Rattus norvegicus: one gene and its partners. The protein of the gene in region 5 purifies or fractionates together with the protein of the main gene of each other region. This does not show direct contact. Links are inferred from orthologs where the notes say so. Each region holds a gene or a part of one and is shown on either strand. Other genes may lie near its edges. The genes, in order: Snrpa1, Gcfc2, Sf3b6, Sf3a3, Dhx15, Sf3b3 and Cherp.

What was found.
Region 1: the proteins of Dhx15 (region 5) and Snrpa1 fractionate together in Homo sapiens (co-fractionation; 3 studies listed by BioGRID and IntAct, with this or other methods). This does not show direct contact. The link is inferred for Rattus norvegicus from reciprocal best matches to the Homo sapiens genes DHX15 and SNRPA1.
Region 2: the proteins of Dhx15 (region 5) and Gcfc2 purify together in Homo sapiens (co-immunoprecipitation; 3 studies listed by BioGRID and IntAct, with this or other methods). This does not show direct contact. The link is inferred for Rattus norvegicus from reciprocal best matches to the Homo sapiens genes DHX15 and GCFC2.
Region 3: the proteins of Dhx15 (region 5) and Sf3b6 fractionate together in Homo sapiens (co-fractionation; 3 studies listed by BioGRID and IntAct, with this or other methods). This does not show direct contact. The link is inferred for Rattus norvegicus from reciprocal best matches to the Homo sapiens genes DHX15 and SF3B6.
Region 4: the proteins of Dhx15 (region 5) and Sf3a3 fractionate together in Homo sapiens (co-fractionation; 3 studies listed by BioGRID and IntAct, with this or other methods). This does not show direct contact. The link is inferred for Rattus norvegicus from reciprocal best matches to the Homo sapiens genes DHX15 and SF3A3.
Region 6: the proteins of Dhx15 (region 5) and Sf3b3 purify together in Homo sapiens (co-immunoprecipitation; 4 studies listed by BioGRID and IntAct, with this or other methods). This does not show direct contact. The link is inferred for Rattus norvegicus from reciprocal best matches to the Homo sapiens genes DHX15 and SF3B3.
Region 7: the proteins of Dhx15 (region 5) and Cherp purify together in Homo sapiens (co-immunoprecipitation; 3 studies listed by BioGRID and IntAct, with this or other methods). This does not show direct contact. The link is inferred for Rattus norvegicus from reciprocal best matches to the Homo sapiens genes DHX15 and CHERP.

What each region holds. Positions count from the first base shown.
Region 1 is NC_086019.1:129,062,050-129,065,614, reverse strand, and holds the end of Snrpa1 (U2 small nuclear ribonucleoprotein A'), read right to left. Parts: intron 3,229-3,565; coding exon 3,135-3,228; intron 762-3,134; coding exon 703-761; 3' UTR 501-702; downstream 1-500. UniProt on the Homo sapiens protein: Involved in pre-mRNA splicing as component of the spliceosome. Associated with sn-RNP U2, where it contributes to the binding of stem loop IV of U2 snRNA.
Region 2 is NC_086022.1:116,073,660-116,076,824, forward strand, and holds the end of Gcfc2 (intron Large complex component GCFC2), read left to right. Parts: intron 1-1,075; coding exon 1,076-1,200; intron 1,201-2,157; coding exon 2,158-2,275; 3' UTR 2,276-2,454; coding exon of another isoform or gene 2,455-2,459; 3' UTR 2,460-2,665; downstream 2,666-3,165.
Region 3 is NC_086024.1:33,548,495-33,551,765, forward strand, and holds part of Sf3b6 (splicing factor 3B subunit 6), read left to right. Parts: intron 1-5; coding exon 6-124; intron 125-3,088; exon of another isoform or gene 3,089-3,271.
Region 4 is NC_086023.1:142,262,407-142,265,906, forward strand, and holds part of Sf3a3 (splicing factor 3A subunit 3), read left to right. Parts: intron 1-394; coding exon 395-462; intron 463-725; coding exon 726-833; intron 834-2,512; coding exon 2,513-2,582; intron 2,583-3,500. UniProt on the Homo sapiens protein: Component of the 17S U2 SnRNP complex of the spliceosome, a large ribonucleoprotein complex that removes introns from transcribed pre-mRNAs.
Region 5 is NC_086032.1:62,998,670-63,002,697, reverse strand, and holds the start of Dhx15 (ATP-dependent RNA helicase DHX15), read right to left. Parts: upstream 2,801-4,028; 5' UTR 2,633-2,800; coding exon 2,562-2,632; intron 1-2,561.
Region 6 is NC_086037.1:55,698,622-55,702,121, reverse strand, and holds part of Sf3b3 (splicing factor 3B subunit 3), read left to right. Parts: intron 1-2,149; coding exon 2,150-2,324; intron 2,325-3,500. UniProt on the Homo sapiens protein: Component of the 17S U2 SnRNP complex of the spliceosome, a large ribonucleoprotein complex that removes introns from transcribed pre-mRNAs.
Region 7 is NC_086034.1:17,411,497-17,415,049, reverse strand, and holds the end of Cherp (calcium homeostasis endoplasmic reticulum protein), read right to left. Parts: coding exon 3,440-3,553; intron 3,296-3,439; coding exon 3,162-3,295; intron 2,840-3,161; coding exon 2,753-2,839; intron 2,669-2,752; coding exon 2,525-2,668; intron 2,449-2,524; coding exon 2,332-2,448; intron 2,153-2,331; coding exon 2,058-2,152; intron 1,940-2,057; coding exon 1,754-1,939; intron 1,675-1,753; coding exon 1,634-1,674; 3' UTR 639-1,633; downstream 1-638. Other genes in the region: C16h19orf44 (uncharacterized protein C19orf44 homolog), read left to right, coding at 486-638. UniProt on the Homo sapiens protein: Involved in calcium homeostasis, growth and proliferation.

The DNA of each region.
Region 1 (3,565 bases), on a different chromosome or scaffold from region 5:
ATAAGAAGAGTGCTGGGATTCGCCTGCTGGCTGCAAGAGAGGCTCAGTGGGAGGCACTATTCTCAAGGCAACAAGGCAGAGCAGGGAAACTGAGGCACTGGTATTTAATAACAAAATCTTTCCTAGATAAGGAATACAGTAAGAAGCCCAGATGCCAAGGAAAATGTGCTTTAACCTGCCCCACGGAGAAACCATGACCTCTGTGCCTCTGTCCCACAGGCTGGAAGATTATTTTTGCTCATGCTATAGCACCAACAAGCAAATGTCTCATTTCCTATTTAAAAATTTTCAAATCATTTTAAATTGATTTGTGAGATGCTCATGTATGTTGATTAAAAAGGTCACAGAATGCCTATGTGTTTAGTCCTGAAGGCTTCCTGCCTTTACCTTCAGGAAGAATCTAATATTTCAGGAGCAGGAGTAATGTCTATTCTGGAATACCAGCTCTCCAATTTCTCACTTAACCACCGCATACCTCACGGCAAACACAGGGCACACAGTTTGGCAGCACAGTAGGTTGCCTTTATTTACCATTTGTAGAAAATTGGCATTGCCATTTCAAGGTTTCTATTAAAAAATTATCAGCAGTAGTTCTGATCATTCAGCAAAGCTGCAGATTCCACGTTGCTGACACAAGCAAGGCTGTTACTCAATGCTCAAATGCAAGACATCCCACGAGCTTATCAGAGCACCTGCCAGAGCTCAGGACCCATTTGTGACTGTGCCGTCTTCCATCTCCTCTTCACCCTCATCACTCGGCCCTAAGAAAGAACCACGGAACACGTTACGTCCATTCTGTATTACCTACTCACTCTCATGCCACACACACTGATTAAAAAAATGAACATACATGAGCATGTGCATACGTACACACACACACACACACACACACACACACACACACACACACACACACACACACGACTGTCAACTGTGTTCCACAATTTGTGGCAGATTTCTACAGATTTCTGAGTTTGAAATCCAGCTTGGTAAATTCTAGAACAGCCAGGGCTATGTAGAGAGATCCTGTCTCTAACCACACACACACATGCACACGCGCGCACACACACCAAAAAGTTTTGCCATATTCAAATGTTTGGGGAAACTACTGGCAAGTCTGCCTATTATTTGGAAGCAAACAGCAGTTTTCCAGATGGATACACGTTACCACGCGTTGTTTGGCTATACCAGCAGTTTCTTACAGACAGCTCACAAAGTGAAGTTGAATTTTTCTTGGAATCCTTCCCATTCTCACCTCCAGCCCATTACTCTACCTTGCACTCTGAGTGCACCTTGTACCCACAGCAAGCACCTGAACACTTGTACGTCTTTCAAATGCTGACTTTCATGATTCATTAGCAGCCCCACTGACGTCCCCAGAAATGTTTGTAACATTAGACCCACAGACCTACATTTTCTTTAACTGTCTTTCTAGTAACGGTGAAGCCTGTGTGTCAGGGAAGTGCTCTACCAGATTTACATCCCCAGCCCAAGTTTTCCAAATTTTAATTTTTGCTTCAAATCTTCAGTTTTATCATTGGTCAGTGCTAGGGACTGAACTCAGGGACTTAAACATGGTTTTATTACTGAGCTCTATCTTCAGTACCACAGAAAAATCACTTTTATTTCTTCATGGAGGACCATGACAGAATGGTATATATTTAATGGGAGTGGAAGTAAGGAAGAAGAGAGCAAGTAGCATCCCTTGGCCTTGCTGAGGCACCAGCAGTTTTTAACCACTGAAGATGCTACTAAATGGAAAAAGCGAACATCTTGGAGTTACTACATAAATAATTTTACCTTGCCTGTCCCCAGGGGCCTAGAGACCACACAGTACCACAGTTCTTTTTTTTTTTTCCCGGAGCTGAGGACTGAACCCAGGGCCTTGTGCTTGCTAGGCAAGAGCTCTACCACTGAGCTAAATCCCCAACCCCTTCCACAGTTCTTAAAAATATCTCATACACTCTCCCTGAGGAGCGACTGACAATTGAAAGCTGCTGAAGTAGAAGAGCCATTTTCTTCAGCAGGGTACCCACTGTAACTTGCCCTTGCTCCAGCAAGCACCCTTACCTCATACTCATGCAAGCAATCTGACTAAATCTGACTAGGGTCACAAAAACTAAAAAGAACCAAAACAGCTCAAAGATAATGATCCTTGGGAAGCTGTCATGGTAGTCGTTCCAGGGATACTCATACTCAAATTTGTACTGTGTTTACTGTACTTGAATAGTGCATCTCTAGTGCTTGACATGCGGACACAAATTGGACATTTGAACAACAGACTTGTTAACACCTAGCAAACACAGCAGTCTTCCCGAAAACCTTTAATGACAGTACCTATCTGAAACTTAAAGATGAAGATATTTACCTTTAATGATGAAACTTGCCCAAGGACAGTACTGGTCAGGCTCTTCATAAGGCCTGTGCTGACCCACTAAACTACCATTTACAGCAACACCTTGCTTCCAGAGATTATGGTCTAAACTTTTCACCACTGGAGAGTTTGTTATTCTGTGAAGATGAACCTGACACTTACACACACCTAAATGGTAGAGGCTATTAACCCACCTGGTGAAGGCAATTGTTTTCCTAAACTATGCACATAGACAACATGTCACTGCTCTCAATAACACAGAGAACTGAATGCATCTGTACATATCTAAGCACAGAAAAAACACAGTAGAATACCAGGTGGAGGAATTCTGAAGCTGTTGCCCTGTGGAATCATTACTGTATATGCAGCGCGTCAGTCCACCAACATGTCCTTTATACAGCATGTGTCTCAGAAGTTCAGTCACCTCTAGAACCTAGTTCCGTCCATATGAAATGTTTTACTACAACTTGTAAAGACCCCATACATATCCCAGTGGCTTAAATTTCTTTATTGACCCTCCCTGCCTCCTGCCTTTGTTCTTCTTTTTCCTTTTCTTTCCCTTTTTTTGATAAAGGGTCTTGTATAGCCCAAGCTGGTCTCAAACTTGTTTTGTAGCCACAAATGACCTTCAACTTCTTACCCTCTTGGCTTAACCTCCCAAATACAGGGATTATGGGCCTAATCATCACGATAGTCAGCTAGTATTGTGTAATCACTCTAGTGTGACGTTTTGCAAGTTCAGACAGAAGAGTTTCCTCACCTGATCTGCGCTCTCTGCCAGGAATCTGGCCAGACTGCAGCAAGCCCTTCAGCCTCTCAACTTCAGCCAGTGTTGACGCGTTTGCTATGGCATTCTAGAAAACACAGGAAAGGGGAGATGGTGATGACCAGTACCCGGAAAGCACCACCGAAGGCCCAAGCACTTTCCCATAGAACATCAACCACACAGTTCTGGGTCAGGGAAGGATTTCACTGGCACATTACAAATCAACCTAGAAAACAGGCTGTCAATTTTCATATTTAGGAGGAGATTCAGGCTCTTGTAAAAGAGAAGTGATCATTTCATATGCCCTTAAAAAGCTAAGTCTGTCTGGAATCCTGTTACTGGAGACTTTAGGATTTTCTACCTACATTCCAACCAGGATTGTCAGCCAGCAAATCTTGGAAAGCAAAGAAACTAAGGCAATCTCC
Region 2 (3,165 bases), on a different chromosome or scaffold from region 5:
TGTCTGTCTGTCTGTCTGTCTATCCATCCATCCATCCATCCATCCATCCATCCATCCATCCATCCATCCATCTATCTATCTATCTATCTATCTATCTATCTATCTATCTATCTCTCTCTCTTGAGGCAGGCTATGTCTGCTGACTAGGCTGGCTAATTTAGAACTCAGAGTCCTTTCTGCCCCAGGCCTCTCAGATGCTGGACTTAGACACCTATCACCATACCCAGGTTACATCCTCTGCTGCCATTTTGTACAACTGCTTTTAAGGCTGGCACTGGACTTCTTTATTTCCAGCCCCTGTGTTCCTTTACTGTGCATGTTTGGTGTTTTGGCTTTCTCCTTTCTGGTCTCAGATCCTCATCTTGTGGCCATCCAAGTTTTCCTCTCCTCATTGAGTTCTCTCCTTTTCCTTCCTGTTGCTAAGAGGAAGTTACTTGTCTTCAACATTTTTCTGACTTTCCCCAAACTCTTCTCTAATCTTCCGTGTTATTTTTGAAGAAGGATTTTTTCGTCTTTGTCTTCTTGAAACAGTTGCATGCGTTGTATTGATCTGTTTGGCAACCATGGGCATGGATAGCACATTGGATAAAAGACTTAGAATCACCTGTCCTTTCCTCCTCTCCAATGTCTGAAGACTGTGGAATATAAACATTGCTAGAAAGTGCAGAGCAGATGCCGTCTGCATATTTATGCCTCTAGCAATGAAGAATGATTGCTAATCAGGTGGCTTTGAGCTTTTTTTTTTTTTTTTTTTTTACTCTTGTTATTCTATATGTATGGGTGTCGTGCTTCTGTGTGTGTCTGTACTGTGTGAATGTAATGCCTGAGGAGGCCAGAAGGGGACACCAGATCTCCTGGAACTGGAGTTGCATATGTCTGTGAGCTGTCATTGTGGGTTATGGGAATTGAACCTGGGTCCTCTGGAAGAGCAGCCATTGCTGGTAACCACTGAGCCATCTCTCCAGCCCCTGAAGAGTGATCTTTTTAATGCCATGTTACCTTTGACACAGGAAAAAGAAATCTCAAACTTTCTTTGCTCTTATCTTGTAATCCTGTCGTGTGTCTTGACTGACAGATAGCAGCATGTCTGCCAGACAAATGGTTTGAGAACTCTGCTATGAGGACATCACTTCCCCAGCTAGAAAACTTCGTTCAGTTTTTGTTGCAGTCTGCACGCAAATTATCCACAACTGAATTCAGGTAATGCTCAGTTTTTCACCTCCAAAGCATTGTGCGAGGATTTTTAATGTTGTTAACAATTTTGAGCAAGTTTTGCACTTATATTATAATTTTTTAAATCTGGGTCTTGGGATATAACCAGTCTGGCAGAGTATTTGCCTAGCAACAAAAGGCCCTGGGCTCAATCCAAGTACTCAGAAACAGGCACTGTGGCACGTGCGGAATCCATCCTTCTGTCGTGCTGAGGAAGTCGACTGTTCCCGTTAGCTACCAACACAGTGGCATTGACGCTGACAGCACAGTACTGTGGAGACCCTGATGACGGGCTTGCTCTGTGTTCTGCTTTGTGTTGCCATCGCATACAAATTTTCCAAAATATTGCGTATTGGACTTTGCAGTTGCAATCGTGAGGTGTATGAAACTGTGGTCATTCTGAGAACTACATCATTGGCAGTTTATGTCTGGCCAGTACTGCAGTGTGCGTATAGAAATGGGTGACGCAGGCTGCTACCGATAGACTGTAATGCACATGTATATGTAGCTAATACAAAAATACACAATGTGGTCACAGTGTCCAGTACTGTGGACAGCTCATATGCTGTGCTTTTATAGAGCTGTCAGCACATTTGTTCCGACCAGCGCATAACAGCAGGTAATGTGTTTCATGGCGGCATGCTAGGGACTAACCAACACCTTGCCTTTAACTGAAGCATCACTGCGTGTGATGAGGTACAGAAGGGATAGCGTCTCTGTATTGTATGCAGCTCTAGATACTGGCTTGGGTCCTCAGTCACCATTGTTACTCCCTTCTGAGCTGTTATAGTACTGTTATTATCGCTTTCCTTTCATTTTATTCCATCTCGTTTTGTGCTAAGGATCAGATTTAGGGCCCCCTGCCCGCTAAAGACTTTGTGTCTCTCATGTGCCTCCAGCCTGGACTGCATAAGGGGTGAGTAAATGCTTTTTGGCTGTTTTCAGGAATGAACTCAATGGAATAATTCTTATCCTGGTGAAGGTAAAGGCTCTGAGTCAAGCTGAATCCCTCACAGAGGAGCATCGCCTGGAGCCCCTCACAGCCCAGACGGCAGGTGTGTGAGCGTGCTGTACAGAGGTCCATGATGAGAGTGGACAGCGCCTTTCCTGTATATAGATGACGCCTCCTGTCCGCTGTGCCCACCGTGGCTGTGTGGAAAGCTTCCTGCTGCTGTGTGTCTGAGGGAAGTACATGCATGAGGCGGCTGGCGCTCAGTGTGCTTCTCTTTTATTCTCTCTCAGTCTGAGAAGATGATGAGGAAATCTGACACACAGAAGCATGCCCCGCGTCAAAACCACCTTCAACAGACTCCAACTGTTTACAAATCAGCTAATGAGGGAAAAACTTTCTATCTCTTGATTTCTTTTGTCTTATTCTTTTGTGGAGACTGGGTCTCATTCTGAAGTGTAAGAAATTGCTTATTAATATTAAATGGTTAATACATTTTTATACAAATTATCCTTTCAAAATCTGTACTGATTGATTGATGAACTTAGGTTAAGAGAGCGCGAGTGAGTCTCCAGATTTTAATTCATTGACAATTTATTAAGAAAAAAATTTTTGAAAAGAAGGTATATTTTTATATGTTTGCTTATGTATGTTCCTGGGTTTAGCACTGCGTCCATGTAGGGGCCAGAAGGCATTAGATCTCCTAGAACTGGATTCCAGGAGGTTGTGGGCCACCTGATGTGCTGGGAACCAAACCCAGGTCCTCAGAAGGGATCTTAACCACTGTGCTGTTCTCCAGCCCGTTGAAGAATGAAGATGTGTCGGTTTGGGTCACCTATAATTCTTTTTGAAGTGTCCATCTTTTTCTACAGGAATACTGATCTTTTGCCTATGTTCTGACAAGTAGCTTTTCAGAAAACTGACCACTTTTCTTTAAATTTTGTGTAAGATTTTTTTGGTAACAAAGTTATCAGCTGGTAGCAAGTGAGGCTTTTTTGCTGTTT
Region 3 (3,271 bases), on a different chromosome or scaffold from region 5:
TTTAGATCCGCCTCCCACCTGAAGTAAATCGGATTTTGTATATAAGGAATTTGCCATACAAAATCACAGCAGAAGAAATGTATGATATATTTGGGAAATATGGACCTATTCGTCAAATCAGAGTGTAAGTCTTTCTGAGACTTAAAATGTCACTTAAAGGATATGGTTGCTTAATCTATAATCTCAGAATTGTAGCTGGCAGCAGGACTACACGTGTGGTATGTAATGATGTGTCTGTTTTGCAGTGGGACTACAAGACCCTTGAGTAAAAGTTCTTTCTAGTATCATGTAGTAGTGATAAAACTTCTAATCCTTAATGGAACCATTAAACTATACAGTACTTGTGCCATTGAAGGGTCCCTCAGAAGGGATTTCGAAAGCTTTACTGGAGAGTCACAAGGTTTCTCTTTAGGGAGGCACCGTTAGGAAGGTCCTGTTGGTTTGAACCCAGGGCGCTGCACATGCGAGGCAGGCATAACCCCAACCCCACTATATTTTTTATAAGTTTTCTGAAGTAAGTGTAGTAGGACAGGCCTATAATCTCATTTTGTGTGGTGGAGGCAAGAGTTGAAGGTGATTCTCATCTATAGAGCCTGGATTTCTTATAAGACTGTGTCTCAAATCAAGTCAAAGGTTTTCTTTTTATAACCTCAGAGCCCCCTTCCTGGCTTTTAGGACTGTGGGAGCCCAAGGCCTTTGCTTTCACATGACCACCATCTCTCCTGGGAGTAAACTGCTTCCTGGTTATATATCATCACTTGTGACACATTCCCATTAGTAGACAAATGAAGATGAAACATAAAACAGGCACTCTCTTTTGAAGGTCTCAGTCCTTTGAGCAACTGCTAAGGGCTTTGTACTCCCTACCTAATACAGTTTGTCCATATTTTGAGGGATGCAAGAACTCCAGGTCCTTCGAAGAACAAAGAATGTGTGTAGATTGTCTCTGGTTTGGGAGCCAGGGAACAAAGGTTTGCCATTAATGCCTGTAACTAGCCATGTGACAAGTGACCAGACTTGTTGGGTTTTTCTTTCTTCTGTAAGATAACTTGGGTGGTGGCCCTTTGGTTCTCAATGTGGAGGCAGTGTGATAATCGACTGGATTGGTTGTTAGGCCTGAGTTCAGATACTAACAGAGTCTTTCAAGTTAGGTGAGACTGGGCAGACTGTTTCATCTGTTTGGGCTTCAGTTCTCTATGAGACACTTAGCTTGGATCAGGTTGCACAGTCTGAACATACACCACTCTCCATAAAGCCACTGAACCTCTGTCAGTCCCTTAGTTACTTAGTTACTGCTAAGGCTAGCTATTTATTTATTTATTATGAATACAGTGTTCTCCCTGCATGTATGCCTGCATGCCAGAAGAGGGCACCAGATCTCATTACGGATGGTCGTGAGCCACCATGTGGTTGCTGGGAATTGAACTCAGGACCTCTGGAAGAGCAGTCAGTGTTCTCAACCTCTATCTAGTTAAGAGCCATCTAGTTAATACATGATCATGTTAGTGCCCATGAGCTCACCTGCCTTTCTTGGCAGAGGTGACTGCCTGCGAGTTTCGTGTTGGTAGTGGTTCATGATTGATGCACAGTAACCACCCACATACATAAGCAACTGAGTAGGGCTGGAGATGCAGCTTAGTAGTTGAGTGTGCAAGGCCTTGAGTTCAGTCCGCTGTGCTGTAAATGAATATAACCGTAGCATGGCTGTGATTAATTTCTGAAGGCATTATGAAGCTTACTCATAGCACTCACAAGAGATGCTTAAGTTGAAGGTAGAGAATGATACCAGAACCCCAACTTAAGAACCAGCACATAGAACACAGCTGTAGTCAGAGCCACACTGGAAACAGAGGCAGAAAGACCGCAAGTCTGAGACCAATCTGGGCAGTATAGTGTGGTAAATTAAACACAGCAGGGGCTACAGCTTGGTAATAGAGTGCAGTCAAAGCTTGAGCAAAGCCACAGTAGCTCAGGGCCTCGGCTTCCAAGGTCTTTCAGGCTGCCCAGCACAGCTGCTCTTACCCGGCTCCTTCTCAGCCTATTCTCAGCTTTGGGGAGGACTTTTCAGAGAGTTTTCCCTACGCCCCAGTTAAAGTAGCTCTCCTCACTACTCTGTCACAGCTCTCCTTTCCTCATGTGGCTCCATATGATCTGGGATTCACACTTTTTATGTAATGTCTTGTTTGACAGGAGGAAGGGGTGATGCCTACCTTTCACTGTTAGTTCTGCTGCCCATCCTAATGCAATGTGATTGTTGAATAGTCATAGAATTTTGAGGCCCAAGAACCTGGATCTTAACTGCAGAATGAGAAACAACAGATCTGTTCCCTCCCTGTGATCAACCTCTGTTACTTACTAGATGCCAGTACTGATTTTGTTTTTTTTTTTTTTAGAGAGGTTTTTCTGTATCCCTGGCTGTTCTAACTCACTCTTTAGACCAGGCTGGCTTTGAACTCAGAGACTGGCTTGCCTCTGCCTCCTGAGTGCTTGGGCCACCACCACTCAGCTAGTACTGATTTTCTAGAATGGAACTTGGTAAAACCTAGCCAGGCTTCTTCACACACCAGGACAATTAATCACTCAACTGATCAGCCTGACATGCAGGAGACACTTGGTACTTTGTGTTCTTTACAGCCTTCAATAGTGTTGCCTTTTCTATTAAAGTCTTGCATAGGGGTTGGAAAGATGGTTGTGGTTAAGAGTGCTTCCTGCTCTTCCAGAGGACCCAAGTTCTGTTCCCAACACCCACATTGGGTGGCTCACAACTGCCTGTAACTCTGGTTCCAGTTGGATCCTACATCACGTCTGGCCTCCAAGGGCACCTGCTCTACATATAAACACCTCCGCACACAGCATGCACATTTGTCTGTTTGAGAGTGTTTATTCAGATAGCAGTGGCTGTCCTGGTGTGTAGACCAGGCTAGCCTTGAACTCAGAGATCTGCCTGCGTCTGCCTGCTGAGTACTAGGATTAAAGGTGTGCAACACTACTGCCCAACATATAAGTCATTTTTAAAAACATATAATATAGGACAAATATCACCGAGATCAGTATATGATGTAAAGTAGCTGAAGCTAGAAAGGCCAGATTGTGAATGAGGTTTTTAATTCCTGTTTACTACCAGTCAGGAAAACGTTACGCTCAGTGCGCAGTACATGACACATTCCAAATACATGCTTTTAAAATTCAGATTATAGTGTAGAGTTCAAGGTGTGAGGTTGAAGTGAGAGCTAGGACCCCTGAAATGGAGAATGTATAAAGTCAGGATAAG
Region 4 (3,500 bases), on a different chromosome or scaffold from region 5:
CTATGATATGATGTCATAGGGTTTAGAAAGTTAGAGGGAGACTGAGGCAAGAGAATTGCTGTGAGTTTGAGGCTAGCTTTAGAGTAAGATCTGTCTCAAACCCAAAATCAGTTATTCTAAAACAAAGCAAGGAGCTAGAGACAAGTGTTCAGTTGGTGGGGTACTTGCCTAGCATGTGTGAGGTTCCGAGTTCAGTTCCTGTCTCTGCAAAAAATACTTCTATGAGTGGCCTCCCTATGGAGAGCCACTGAACACTCCCTTCCCATGGTGGCTGACTCTGGACATGGCAGTAGTCAGTCTTTGGGGACTGAAAGGTAGGAGGCTGACTGTAGAATGTAGTCCTGCCTGGGGAAAAAGCTAGTCATGTTGTGTTGTAACCGATTTCTCTTTCTAGGAGTTGGCATCCCTGGGTCTGGACAGATTGAAATCTGCACTGTTGGCTTTAGGCCTGAAGTGTGGTGGGTAAGAACCTGGTTTTGCTATCAAAAACCCTACTGGCTGTGTGTTTGGATGATCCTCTAAGAGGCTGTGATTTTGTTGTTTGATTAACACACACTGCAAAAATCATTTTGTACAGTGTATGATGGTGAATGCCTTTAACCCCAGCACTGAGAGGGCAGGCAAGTGTCTGTGTGTGAGTCCGAGACCAGCCTGGTCCTTAATAATGAGTTTCTTTTAAAAAGAAAAAAGACCATCTGTGTAGTATGTACCTCTTACCTCCTTAGGACCCTAGAAGAACGAGCTCAGAGACTCTTCAGCACCAAAGGAAAGTCCTTGGAGTCGCTCGACACCTCTCTGTTTGCCAAAAATCCCAAGTCAAAGGGCACAAAGAGGTGAGTAGCTGGTTCACATCTCCACTCTGGTTTTTACATTTCTGTCCTATGGAGCCTGCTTTCTACTTCTCCTTTTGCTTTGCTTTTCCCCTCTAAGTCAGGCTCTCCCATAACTCGGATTGGCCTCAAACTTGCTCGTATCTGGGCACGACCTTCAGCTTCCCCCATGGCATCTCTGTCTCAGAAGGTTGCTCTTGCAGGCATGTGCCACCAGGCCTGGTTGGTTGGTTGGTTGGTTTTCCTTTTTTTTTTTTTTTTTTTTTTTTTTTGAAACAGGGTCTCACTGTGTAGCTCTGGCTGTACTAGAACTCACTATGTAGACCAGTCTGGCTTCAAACTCACAGACATCCAGTTGCCTCTGTCTCCCCAGTGCTGGGATTAAGGAAGAGCACCATTAAACCCAGCTAAGGATCGCACAATTTTTCTTTTTCTTTTTTTTTTCTTTCTTTCTTTCTTTCTTTCTTTCTTTTATTTATTTATTTTTTTGAAAGTAGATTTTTTTCTTTTATTGAAGGTAGATTATTGTCTCCTACAATTTATCCTGATTATAGTTTGCCCTCCTTCTATCCCTTCTCGTTCCTCCCCCTTCCCTCTCCTCCCCTCTCCTTCCCTTCAGTTCCACTCCCTTTCTATCTGTTATTAGGAAAGAATAGGCTTTTAAGAGAGAACAGCCAAACGTGACAAAATAAAATATGATAAGGTGAAGAAAAAACTATCATATCAAAGTTAGGCATGGCAACCCAACAGAAGGAAAAGTCTCAGGGGCAGCCAGAAGACTCAAAGATCCATCCTAGTCACAGTCAGGAGTCCCATAAAAACACTTGAGCTAAAAGCCATAATATATACACAGAGGACCTAGTGCAGCCCCGTGTAGGCTCTGTGCTTCAGTCTCTGAACTCTTATGTCTCCCTTTGTCGATGTGGAGAGCCCGTGCTCTCCTGCTGGCCTCTCTCCTCTGTCTCTTACCTCCCTGCTCTTCTTCCCTGAGCTCAGGGGAGGGATTTGTTAGAGACCTCCCATTTAGACCCTCTCTCCACAGAGTGTCTGCTGTAGGCTCTGTGTCTGTTCCTATCTGCTGGGAGAAAGCTGCTCCAGTGATGACTGGATAAGGCACTGATCTAGGAGCAATGTTTTAAGGGCTCCCTGAGTTAGACTTTGTCTCAAAATAGATTTTTTTAATACTTTAATTTTATTAGTGACAGCTGGGTATATTTATGAGCTGCATATGTATACAGGGTATTGTTTTTTGATTTGGCCTTTTTTTTTTTTTCTCCCTAATATGTTATACCAATCCTGGAAAGTGGTTGTTAATCTGATTTTTGCAAGGACTTGGGAAAGTTGCTAAATGTGACCTTCCTTGCAGTTGCAAAGCAGCGGAATTAGGACTTTGTATCGTTACTTGCTTTCAGGGCTTCTTATATATTGCATTCCTTTGTAAATCACAGTGGTGCCATACAGTTGAAGTGGTCTCACAGGCCATTCACTGTACACACAAAGTCAAGATGAGACTCCCTAGCTTCTAAGAACTGCCCTCAGGATTTGAGCAGGGAGGCTGCCTCGTGTGGCCTGCTCACATGCTTGAGATTGTGTAATTCTGTCACAGAGACCGTGTTCCTGACAGGGAATAAAGCTTTCGATACAAAGAACCCTTAATTGATACAGCTTGTTCTTGTTCTCAGAGACACTGAGAGGAACAAAGACATTGCTTTCCTGGAAGCCCAGATCTATGAATATGTGGAGATTCTTGGGGTAAGTGCGATCTTCTAGAGCCGTGCATAGGAAGGATTTTTTTTTTTTTTTTTTTTTTTTTTTTTGGGTTCTTTTTTTCGGAGCTGGGGACCGAACCCAGGGCCTTGCGCTTCCTAGGTAAGCGCTCTACCACTGAGCTAAATCCCCAGCCCCGGATTTTTTTTTTTTTTTTAAGTTCACATAAGGAAGTGGGGTGGGCAGTAACTTAGTTCACCTCAAAGTATGGTTCTCTTGAAGTCCTTGGCCCTTCTTTTGGACTCCTGTTGTATCGTTAGGTGATATTCCCAAGGCTGCCCAATTCTCATAAGGTCAGACATAGACAGTAGACCCTGCCTGTCTCCTCGTTCAGCCCGATCTAGAGTAATGCAGCTCTTTGCTGAGCTTCAGCATAAACCAGGGGGTGACCCAAGAAGTAGGCACTCAAAAGGCAAGCCAGAGGTGACTCAGCGGTGCTTCAGACGTGACTTACTGTGGCACAACAGTTTGCCCCATGTTGAGACTGAAACCTGGCAAGGCTAGAGGAGGGCCAGTACGAAGATGGCTATGGACAGTCTCCTCTTGTAGGGTCTCAGGAAGTGCCCTTCATACCTTCCTGCTTGGTTTGAAGTGCTATCTCCCTGTTTCTGCTGCACGTGATGCTGCAGGCTAGTATGCCCATGACCTTCCAGACAGTTCTCTGTCTCTGTCTCCTGTGGTGCTGTAGGAGTGCTGAGGTTGCAAGGAGGGTGGCTTTTACATGGGTTCTGAGGCTTCAACTCAGGTCATCAACTGAATCATCTTGCCAAGCCAACTTAGCCTTATTTTACAACCAAAACCTTCCTTTTGGAAGTGAAGGGCAGCAAGAGTTAGAGGAACTGTCCCTTCATGTCCTGTACTGATGTGATCTGTCTTTGTTTTGCTTTTTCTCTATGCCTCACC
Region 5 (4,028 bases):
AAATGCACCAGGCAAATACTGGTTACTACTGATGTTCCATTTAAATTGTACTTGGAATAATAACGGGCACTAATATACTGCGCTAAAAAGGATGGAAACTAGTCATCTACTTCAGATATTTTATATAAACACTACTAAGCATGGGCATTAATATGTATACATATCTATAGAAAAAAAACCCAAGAAAGCACTTAATATCAATGAGCAAGACAAGAGATATGCCTTATAACTGGAGTACTGCACAAATAGGCCCCAAATTCCAAGAGCTCAGATATTACATTTTGTATTTAAGAATAAGTATGGTCTCCAAAGATGGAAATAATGATTTGGAGTAACTTACTGCTCTTTTCTTTATACCTTAAAGTGTGAAAATTTCTTGCTCACTGCATCTTATTTAATTTCAGCTACCACAGGATTGTAGTGAAACACACTTCTACCTACAAAGAATCATAATTATTGAGTTTCGATCAGGAATACTAAGAACCATTAGAATAAAAATGTCCTCAGATTTTCCAGAGCTGGTGAGATGGTTCAGAGTGAAAAACTGAGTTGACCCCTGGGGCCAGCATGGTCAAGAGGAAGTATCTAATTCCATGTTTTCTTCTGCTTGCCACAAGCAGTGGTCATACACCCAAACACACAAAAGTGTGCTGGAATGGAGACAACAGGGTCTGGTGACAGCTGGGGTGACAAAATGAACAAGCCTATGCTGTCAAATACACTAAACAAGAGCAAAAAGGAAGGAAAAGAGGGAGGGAGGGAGGAGAGGAGGGACAGAATCCCTGGCAGTCAAAAGTGCCTTCAAACTAAGTGAGGAAGAGAAAATCAATAGATACCAAGCACAAATACTGTATAAACTCATTGCTAAAGAAAATCAGTTCTATAAGAAAAAGTACTCAAAACACTTACGAAACAGCAACAACTGCCCTCCAGAATCTCTAGAAATTAAGGAATTACTCTTCAACTGAACTCTCCTGTACTTACTGACAAATATTAAATACTCAGAGAAAACATGAAGCTACCATGATACACCCAAAGTCCATTTTACCAATGTTATACATTAGCAAGAGAAATCACCATGATCACTGTGATCAATGTGGAGCCACTAATCGAAATAAATGCACTGAGTAGTGAACACACACACACAAAAACACTGAAAAGAACTATCTCAGAGTGACCTCTAAGTGGGAAATTAGTTGCATCTTAGCCAAATGTGACAATCACTACACTTTATCAATCCAATAAGAATGGCATTATGACAGGTGGTAATGTTTAACTACAGTTTTATGTTTCATGTTGAGAAAAGGAGATTTCTAGATGCCACTGTAAAGTATGGAAAAGATCACTGTAATGTTGCTCTCCCTTGGAGAATAATCATGAGCTGTATTTCTACCTAAGAACTGACTGAGCTCAAATATGAACGCTTGGAATTTTTGCTTGCGGGAATAGCTAGCTGTCTTGGGATGTTGTATTATTACAATGCTTAGTATTACAAGCTTTAAAAAAAAAACTACAGAATCAAAACATAACAAACCTACTTTCCATATTCAATATTTCAATCTAAGGAGAGCATCAGAACACATCCTATCCTGACCTATACCTCCCATTGGTAGTTAGAAAGCAAGCCCAAAAGACTTAAAATCTCAAGAGACCACACATCTGACTTGACAGCTAGTGTCACAGGACGTAAGAAAATGATAAAAGCATACAACAGTTTTGGACATTCGGACTTCTGTGTTATATTTTTTTAACTAACCAAACAGATCTCTGTACTGCCAAAGTATAAACATACAGTTAATTAAAATGGAAGGGTAGGAATATAAGCTAAAGTACATTTTAAGTATGAACTGTCACAGAAAAGCTGGAAAATGATAATACAACTGCTTACATGCTAAATGCCCCGTCTTTGCAAAAGTCTAGGAAAAGGAACCAAACTGCCAGACCAAGAATCGGTGTAAGCATTCCTCAATCTGCACGTGGGTGTTGTTTGTTCAAACACGCTTAAGATCACTTTTTGAAAAGTGCGTCCAAAGTCGGGAGGAGATAGAAATAACTTACAGAGCGGAGGGAGATTACGTATTTTCACAGGCCTACCCCACTGATGCTTAGCAAGGCCGGTTTTTAAGCAAAGCAGGAAATAAAGGAGATGGCGGGAGGGCAAGCAGAGGGCGGAAGTTGGCAACGGCCTCTTCTGAAGTGCCTCAATGGAAGGAGGCCGTCCGTCTCCCGCCAAACAGTGCGCCCCGAGGTCGGCTGGTCTTTATCCCCAAGTAGACAGCTCCCGCCGCCGCCCGGGGCCGCTCAAGGGGCAGTGCCCTTGGCCACCCCATTCCGGACACTCTCCCCGGCTGCGGGCCTCACGCGAGCACCGAGGCCTCGCGGCCCGCTCCTCACGCCCGCCGCCCGCGGCCTCGTGGCCACCACAGGCCTCTCACCCTGACCGCACACACTCGGCCCGCGCCCCAGCCGGCCGATGGCAGACAAAGACTCGGCTGCCGGGCCTGCTCCCCGCCACAAGCCAACAAAGCCCGAGCCGCGACTGCGCACCCGGTCTGTCTTACCCATCGGTCCCCGCACGCTTCTTGCCGGAGGGGTAATCCTCCCCCAGGTCCAACCGATGCCTCTTGGACATCTTCGCACTCCCAGAGCGGACGCTTAGGAAGGAAGGAAGAAGAGAGACTCCAGCAGCCGGATCCACACAGAAGAGGCCCGCTGCTCAACTCGCAGGGACCCCCACCCCTCCCGCCACCACAGACCGCTCCGTGCGGCCCGAACCAGGAGCTAAAATGGCGGCCACGACGAGGGCAGGGCCTGCGCGCGCGCCGCCGCGGCGGGCGTGCCGGCGTGGTGCGCGCGCACGCCGCCCGGAGGCGGGAACTCCCGTCCCGCCCGATGTGCCATTGGCTGAATGGCTCTGCGCCCCGCGGGCTCCTCCCCTCTCCTCCTAGCTGTGAGCCGCTCTGAGCGATTGCGAAGGACGAAGATGAGCCTCAAGCTGTCACTTGCTGCCTGGAGTTCGTTCGGAAAGTTGGAAAAGCCTAGTTCTAATTAGGAAATCTATCCAGCTGTGTATTTACTTTTGTTTTTAGGGTCTGAAGCTCAGGAAGGCTTAAGGAAACAAGATCACACAGCTGGTAAGTGGCAGAGCAGGGCACAATTATTTTATAACTCCAGAACAGGAATTTGCAGTTGTTGCGCCAGATTCCCAGCCGCGGTGAGAAACATGTTAATTTACTGTGACTCGTTTTGTCCACTTACCCCAGAACAGTATTTATTCAATCTATAGGTGTTTTGGATAGGGTTCAGAAAATTGGAGGAATTCGTACTGGACACCTTATTTTTTCTCCAATCCTCTGCCCTAGTCTCTCTCCGTTTGTGTATATATGAGTACATATTAGGCACTTGGAGATGTTAACCCTATCTCTGTCCTCGTTTGGTTTGGTTTGGTTTGGTTTGGTTTGGTTTGGTTTGGTTTTCTAAGACAGGGTTTCTCTGTGTAGTTCTGGCTGTCCTCAAACATGCTCTGTAGAAGAGGCTAGCCTGGAATTCAGAGATCAGGTGCTGTCTCTGCCTCCCAGTGCTGGGATTAAAGACATGCCCTAGCATGCCTAGTTGCTGTGCTCCTTAGTAGAGTGAACCCTGAAAGACATTTTATAGACATAATCACCTAGACTGAAGGAAATCAACAAATAGCGCATCCATTAAAACTCCACTGTAATGGCAAGTTGTTGAGGGAAGGTGACACTTAAGAGGTTGTGTATCTTTCTCCCTTCAGCCTATGTGCTTGCTCAATTGCATTTATTTCCAGAAGTGTGGGGGGAAAGAATTCTAATGATCAGCCCAAACACAGAGTATCACTTCATGTCAAGATTCTCCTTGACTGCTCCTTGGCTCTAGTCCCTCAAAAATTCTCAAAAGATTAAATACAACAGAAACATGGCAGATGACAGCTTCTATTTTTGTATCATCCATCAGTACAAATTCAAATGAATATCTTTTTGTTACTTTCACAATACCCAATACAACCT
Region 6 (3,500 bases), on a different chromosome or scaffold from region 5:
CTCTACCGCTGAGCTAAATCCCCAACCCCCCGTTACTTATTTTTTATGATAGAATCTTCCTAGGTAGCCAATGCTGGTTGGCTTCAAGATCAAATTTCAGTTGCTCGCTTGGAAGGCCACTGAACATTCTAGTACTTACTGTTAGAATCAGTCACATAAACTTTTTGACTATTAGTAAATGTGTAAATGTTTATCTTAATTTTTTGTGTGAATGCAGGTTTTCTTTTTTCTTTTAAAGGCAGTTTTTGAAAGAGTGAAATAGAAATATGATTACTGTTGTGTTGTGGGGTATTTGCCAGAGTCTACTGCTCAAAAATGAAGCCTCACACAAGGAAAAGGATCAGAAGTATGGTCACCAAAGAGGCTCAACTGTAGGCTTAAAGACTAGCTTGAGGTAGCTCTGTCTTCACGAATACCAGAGGGCCACCCAGTGCCCAACAGTCATCCTTGGATCTAGGGAGTGTTTACACGGACCAAAGCTTCAGTTTATCAATTGTTACTGTAGGGTGGGGCGCCCAGTGGGCTGGAAAGTTAGTCTGTTGCAGGTAGACCAGAGAGATAAGGGATAGGGCCTTAATGCGGCTTAGATTCCCAAGGGGAAAACATGAAGGCACCAAGATAACCTACCAACCAAGTTACATGACACCAACATTAGGGTTTCACCAATGTTAGGGTTTTGTGGCAGAAGGAAGTGTGCCTTGGTGGATTGGGGCCAAAGAACACACACCACAAAGTCAGGCCATGTAAAAAAAAAACCTCATGTGAGAGGCTTATTGTGGGGCAATATATGGAGGGAGGCTGCCTCTGAACGAGGGTGGAATAGAGGATAGGAATGGTGAAGGCACTGTTTATAAAGTGGTGCGGCACAGAGCGAGAATACCCAACTTGTGACAGTGGAAATGTGTCGCATTTAGTGGCCACTGTAGCGTACTGAAGTTGTAGTTACTGAACTGTGGATGTTAAAGGTGGAATTGGGCGTTTCCAACATGTTCAAATGTGCCTTCATCAGTTGTAGTCCAAAGCTGGAGAGATGGCTCAGTGGTTATGAGCACTGACTGCTCTTCTAGAGAACCTAAGTTCAATTCCCAGCAACCACATGGTGGCTCACAACCATCTGTAACACATCTACTGGTGTGTCTGAAGACAGCGACAGTGTACTTGTATACATAAAATAAGTAATTTTTTTTTTTTTTTTTTTTCGGAGCTGGGGACCGAACCCAGGGCCTTGCGCTTCCTAGGTAAGCGCTCTACCACTGAGCCAAATCCCCAGCCCCAAGTTTTTTTTTTTAATGCAGTCCAAGAATAGAGTCGTGAAAATTCTGGTGCTTGTGAAAAAACTCCAAGAAAACAAAGAGTCTGCCCTCAGTTTCTTCAGAACACAGAGTTCTAGGAATGTACTGTGTTCCTTCCAGGTGTGGCAGAGTTTGACTGGAGTTGTGATTCGTGTTTCTCTGGGTTTTTGCCATGTATGGCTTGTCCTTGTGATTAAATACTCATGTGACTCTGAAGCTTCAGGGTATAAAATGGTGATGCTCAGAATCAAGTTGGCTATTCAATGAGAGTTTAGCCTCATTTTTAGGCCCTACTCTCCCAGGTTCACGAAACCAACTGGAGAGATAAAACACTCATCCCTATTTTTTGAGGCAGGATCTCTCACTGAAAATAGTTTGTGAATTAGCTAAACTGACTATCATCAAACCCCAGAGATCCTCCTGTCTCTTTTCCTTAGCACAGGGATTACAGGGCCTGCTGACTGCTGCGCCCTCCTTTTTTTTTTTTCGGAGCTGGGGACCGAACCCAGTGCACCCTCCTTTTAAATGGGTTTTAGGGTCCGTAACTGGGGTCATCATGGTTCCATACAAAGACTCTACCAACTGAACCTTCTCCATGGCCCCTGAACTTCATATTGTCACACTGGCTATAGAACAATAAGGTTCTACAGTTCGCTGTGTTCAGGAGTGAAGGCGCAAGTTCAGTAGAAGTGGGATGCGCTGCTGAAGAGGGACTCTTCATGGCTCTCCTTCCTTTGGTGTGTGGTCCTTTAAGCATAGACAGTTGTTTCCTGTTTTCTGTGCCTGATCATGCTTGATTTCATGGATTCCTAAGCTGAGCGAGCAGTGTTCTCTAACTCCTTTGCTTATTGCCGTAGGATTTTGGCACTAGAGAAGCTTGGCGCTGTCTTCAATCAAGTGGCCTTTCCTTTGCAGTACACACCCAGGAAGTTTGTCATCCACCCTGAGAGTAACAACCTTATCATCATAGAGACGGATCACAATGCCTACACTGAGGCTACAAAAGCTCAGAGAAAGCAGCAGATGGCTGAGGTAATTACTCTCACCTTGAAAGGGGTAGTTTCAAAAGGCTTGTCTATAAAGTTGTTTAGAAAAGTTTAAATCTAAAACTTGTCTAATTCTCTTCTCCCTGCCACATCCACACTGCTTTGGAGATAGTGGTCTCAGACCATAACCCTGGCTCTCCAGGAACTCTTTTTTTTTTTAAAGATTTATTTTATTTATTATATATAAGTACACTGTAGCTGTCTCCAGATACACCAGAAGGGGGCATCAGATCTCTTTACAGATGGTTGTGAGCCACCATGTGGTTGCTGGGAATTGAACTCATGACCTCTGGAAGAGCAGTCGGGTGCTCTTAACCGCTGAGCCATCTCTCCAGCCCTCTCCAGGAACTCTTAATGATCCTGCTGCTCCCAGCTTTCCAAGTGCACTGCCACACATAATAGCCATAGTCTTTGTTTTTTGAGACATTTTGCTATCCACTATGTAGACCACAATGGCCTTGAACTTTACAGGGATTTGCCTGCCTCTACCCCTGGAGTGTTGGGATTAAAGGTGTACGCAACCACACTTGGCTGCCTTTGTTAGTTTTAAAGCACAGTGGTATTATTCGTGACCAGCATGCGCAAAGCTCCAGGTTAGATTCCTAGGACCTTTTGGAAAAACAAAGGTAAAGTGGGTTGGACCCTAAAGCTACAAGGATAAACCAGCCCCTTTGCAGGACTTCAAGCCAAGTTCTTTGCCCTGTTCTCCCTTTGACAGGCTTTTTTGTGGCCTGGTTACTCAGAATTCAGTTCCCTCTGTGGAACTAACTGTTCTCTAGTCCTTGAACTCCCACAATAGGGTGTTACGTGATGCCTTGATTTGAGCCCAACCGCACAGCTTTCAGTTTTCCCTCAGCACCAGCTCATCCAAAAACTGTTTGCCAGCAAAAACCAACTAGCACCAAGCATGTAGAAACCATATCTAGTCTAAGACAAGTAGTCGTAGCCAGGGAAACCCGGGGGCACTGTATGAATGAGCCAGGTTTTCACTTCTGAGTTTTGTGCACCCCCCCCCCCACTACAACTGCTAGGGTTTTGGGGGGGTTGTTGTTGTTGTTGCTGCTGGGTTTTTATTTTCCTTTTAGTGATCTCTTTATTTTACATTTCTCCCTTGAACCTTTTTTTTTTTTTTTCCTTTTAAATTGTGTGTCTGTTTGACTTG
Region 7 (3,553 bases), on a different chromosome or scaffold from region 5:
CGGCTCCACACGGATGTGGACACTGGCAGGAACGGGTCCTGTGCCCTTCCAGACAGTGTGGCAGCTGCCTCTCTTAGGACTCTGACTGGAGTTTGGTCTCCTGGGGATTGAGGTCAGGTCATTAGGCCTAGTAGGGAGCCATCTTATAGGCCCCACATTATTTCTGGTGGGTCTTGGCTGGCTCAGAACTTTCCATCCCCTGGGCTCAGCCTTCCAAGTGCTGGGATCCCAGTGTGTGCAGCTTCTAAAACCAGTTCACCATGAGATATTTAACGTGGCATCTCCAGCCTCTTACCCTAGACTGCCCTCTTTCCAGTCTGACCATGTTATCTGTTATCTGTACCCAGTGTGGCTTTTCACCCCAGGACATCTTGAGTGTAGCACCATGGCCTTTCTTGGGCCACTGTGCGTGAGGGCACCCTGGAGCAGTATCTCCCAGTTTCCTGTGTGCATGCATCATGTTCTTTATGCTCTATGTCCTACAGTACATTAGGTGCCACAGGCCTGCACCCCTGACCATGGAGGCTGCCCTGCAGGAGGTGAGGAAGGAGCTTGAAGTCCACCTCGACATCAATGACAGCCATGTGGAGGCAAGCAAGGCTGCAGCTCTCCCCGCTGAGCCCATAGACGGACTCTAAGCTCCCATCTGCCCAGCTGGCTGCTGAGGACACAGCCGTGGACCCACCACAGGGCAGTGGTGCAGGATGGGGCCAGCCATGAGCCAGTGTGACAGACAGACAGCATGTGCCAGGCATATCAGTCATCCAGGACGGGACCAGCTGCCCCATGAGAACACGCCATGCAGGGGCTGAGCACCCTGGGGCACCTCACCCACAGCTGGAGGAAATCTTTTACAAAAGGCTTTATTGGAAGGCAAAACAGTAAAATCCACAATCAATTGTTAACAGCACAGGTGTATCTGCTTGTTTATCCTGAGTCAGACACATCTGAACATCATAGCTATGAGAAATCTAAAACAAAAATCAAGTGTCTTAAATGGTACTGAAAAGTTGTAGGACTCTGCATTTTATTGAAAAGAATGTTTCAAAAGTTTGTGTACAAACAATGGCACCAGGCTGCTCCTTAAACAACAGCACAGGAGGTGCTGGCTGGCTGGAGCCCAGCACTCCATGCTCTGCGCTGGTATTGGCTTCCCCAGGCAGAAGCCCCAAGCTGAGGTGCTGCACTAGGTGGAGGGGCTCCGGAGGCCATCTTCCCCTGACCCACCAGAACTTAGCCCAGTGTCAGAAGCTATGTCCAGGTAATAGAGGCAAACAGCTAACATTTATGGAAATGGATGGTAAAAATACAACTAAACGATGAACTGAGTCAGGCAGGAGTCAGATGATCCCTGCCTCAGGGGTCAGTACTTGTTTTTCCTAACACAAAACCAGGTGGAGCCTTCTGACCTCTGCAGCTCAGAGGCCAGGCTATTCTGGTTGCCACACTCAGTGCAAGGCAGCCTTCTCACTACTGGGCTCTAGGCTGTGCAGCACTATGGGTGGGACTTGGGCTCTGGGCTGGGGGGTGGTGTTGAGTTTTGCTATCTGGGCACTGCGAGTGGTATCTGCAGCACCTCCTCCAGGGCAAACGCAGGACAAGCCCTTCCACACTGTGAAGCTGAGGCCTGTGGTCAGTCTTCCTTCTCTTCCTTTCGCGCCCCAAACGTGGAAACTGTATGAGAACAGGGCTGTCACCCCCACCTTTCCCACAGAAAGCTAAGCCTGCCGTGCCCACCCACACCTATACTCACATTCATCTCGGGCCTTCATTCGAGCAATGAAGGAGTAGCTCTTATTGCGGCGGTAGTTCTCATATGGGTCATCCAGGGCCACGCCCACACCCTTGTACTGGTCCCATTTATCTCGGACATCACCACCCTTAATGGGGTCCTGGATGCCCTGCTCCTTTGCACCGAGGCCACCAGACCCGCTCCAGCCTTCAGAGAAGAAAAAACACACGAGGTGGGGTGTGACCATGTCCCCTGGGACATGAACCCCCAGCAGTATCCCAACATATGGTTAGGCAGGGAGCTGGCACTGGTCGGGTCTACTCACCCATCTTCACCAGCATCTGGTGGCCTTTATTCTCTTCTCCAAGCCTTGAGTCTGGTATGGGAGGTGCTGAGTTAGAACCCAGGCCGGCTGCAGAGCTGGAATGAAGAGACACTCTCTAAGCTTTAACCTCTACAACAGGCCCCTGAGCACTGAGAGCAGTCAGTCAGTTAAGCATTGAGGGAAAAGGCTGTGGGTTGGCCCAGTGGTGGGAGGGGTGCCACCCCACTCTTTAGCAACAGGGGTATATTTGACAACTTCCACACTTGTGGCTTACGGTGGGGTGGGGCTCCGGGACCTGGAGCGACGCCGCCTCCCAGGGGAGTATGACTTGGACCTGGACCTAGACCTGGAGCGTGAGCGGCTTCTGGAGGAACGTGACCGGCTGCGGCTTCTGTGGGGGCAACAGGACAATGGGGCATGGGCAGGAATAGTGCTCCCGGGTTTTCTGAGGTTCCCCATGTGCCTACCTGGACCTGGAGCGGGAGGAAGAGCGGGACCGAGACCGGGATCGTGAGCGGGAGGAGGACCTTGAGGACTTGGAGGATCGTGAGCTGGAGCGAGATGAGGAACGGCCTCGGCTCTTGGACCGGCTGTGTGACCTGGAGGGGCCACTGCAGGGAAATGCCACAGTGAGGACGGCAGTGAACAGCAACCACATGCCACAATGGCAGCCCCATGAAACGAGCACAGCTCACCTGTTCCTCTTCTCCTGGCCCTTGCGCCGCCGTGCCCGCATCTTAGCTCGAAAGAATTCATAGAGGCCATTCTGCTCCCAGCCCTCGCTGCATGACATGGTCCCCATGAGAGGCTTGCGTCAGCCCCCAAGGACCACAGTGGCCAGGAAGGGGGTCCCTTGCACTAGGAAGCTAACCAAGAGGTAGCTGGGGTTCTGCTGGGTCTCCAGCCCTCCCCCCAAATCCCAGGAGACCTCCTATCATGCCCATTGCTGTTCTTAGTGTCTGCTGTGGCAGGCTGGGCCGAGGCTGGATGCTACAAGGCCATCACTCCAGGCCCAATGCAGTGTGCAGAGGAAGAAGTCCTCATCTGCCGGACAGACTTAGTGGGTGGGGGCTCAGCCAGGCCTTGGGGCACCAACTTCCCTACCTGTTCCTTGGTCTGTCATGGGAGGGTGGGCTGTAGAAGGCTTCCACAGCTGCAAGTAGCCTCTCACTGGGAGGCATGGGGGGTGGCAGGCGGATGTCTTTGGGGTCCAGAGGCTTGTACTCATGGTCCTCCAGCTGTAGGAGAACATGGCTGTTGCCTGGGTCCTGAGGAGTCCTACTTGGCCACCCAGTGGAATTTAGCAAGGCAGGAACTCAGCGTGACAATACCAGTATGCCCCACTCCCATGTTCAACCTCCCGGGTCAGGGCCCAGTATCACCTTCACAAGGGGAGCCATTAACCCCGCTGGAAGATCGAAGTAGGGCACATTGGGGACCAGGCTGGGGTCATCATGGTTGATGTGAGGTGGGCCCTGTCGCCGCATGTGGGGGGG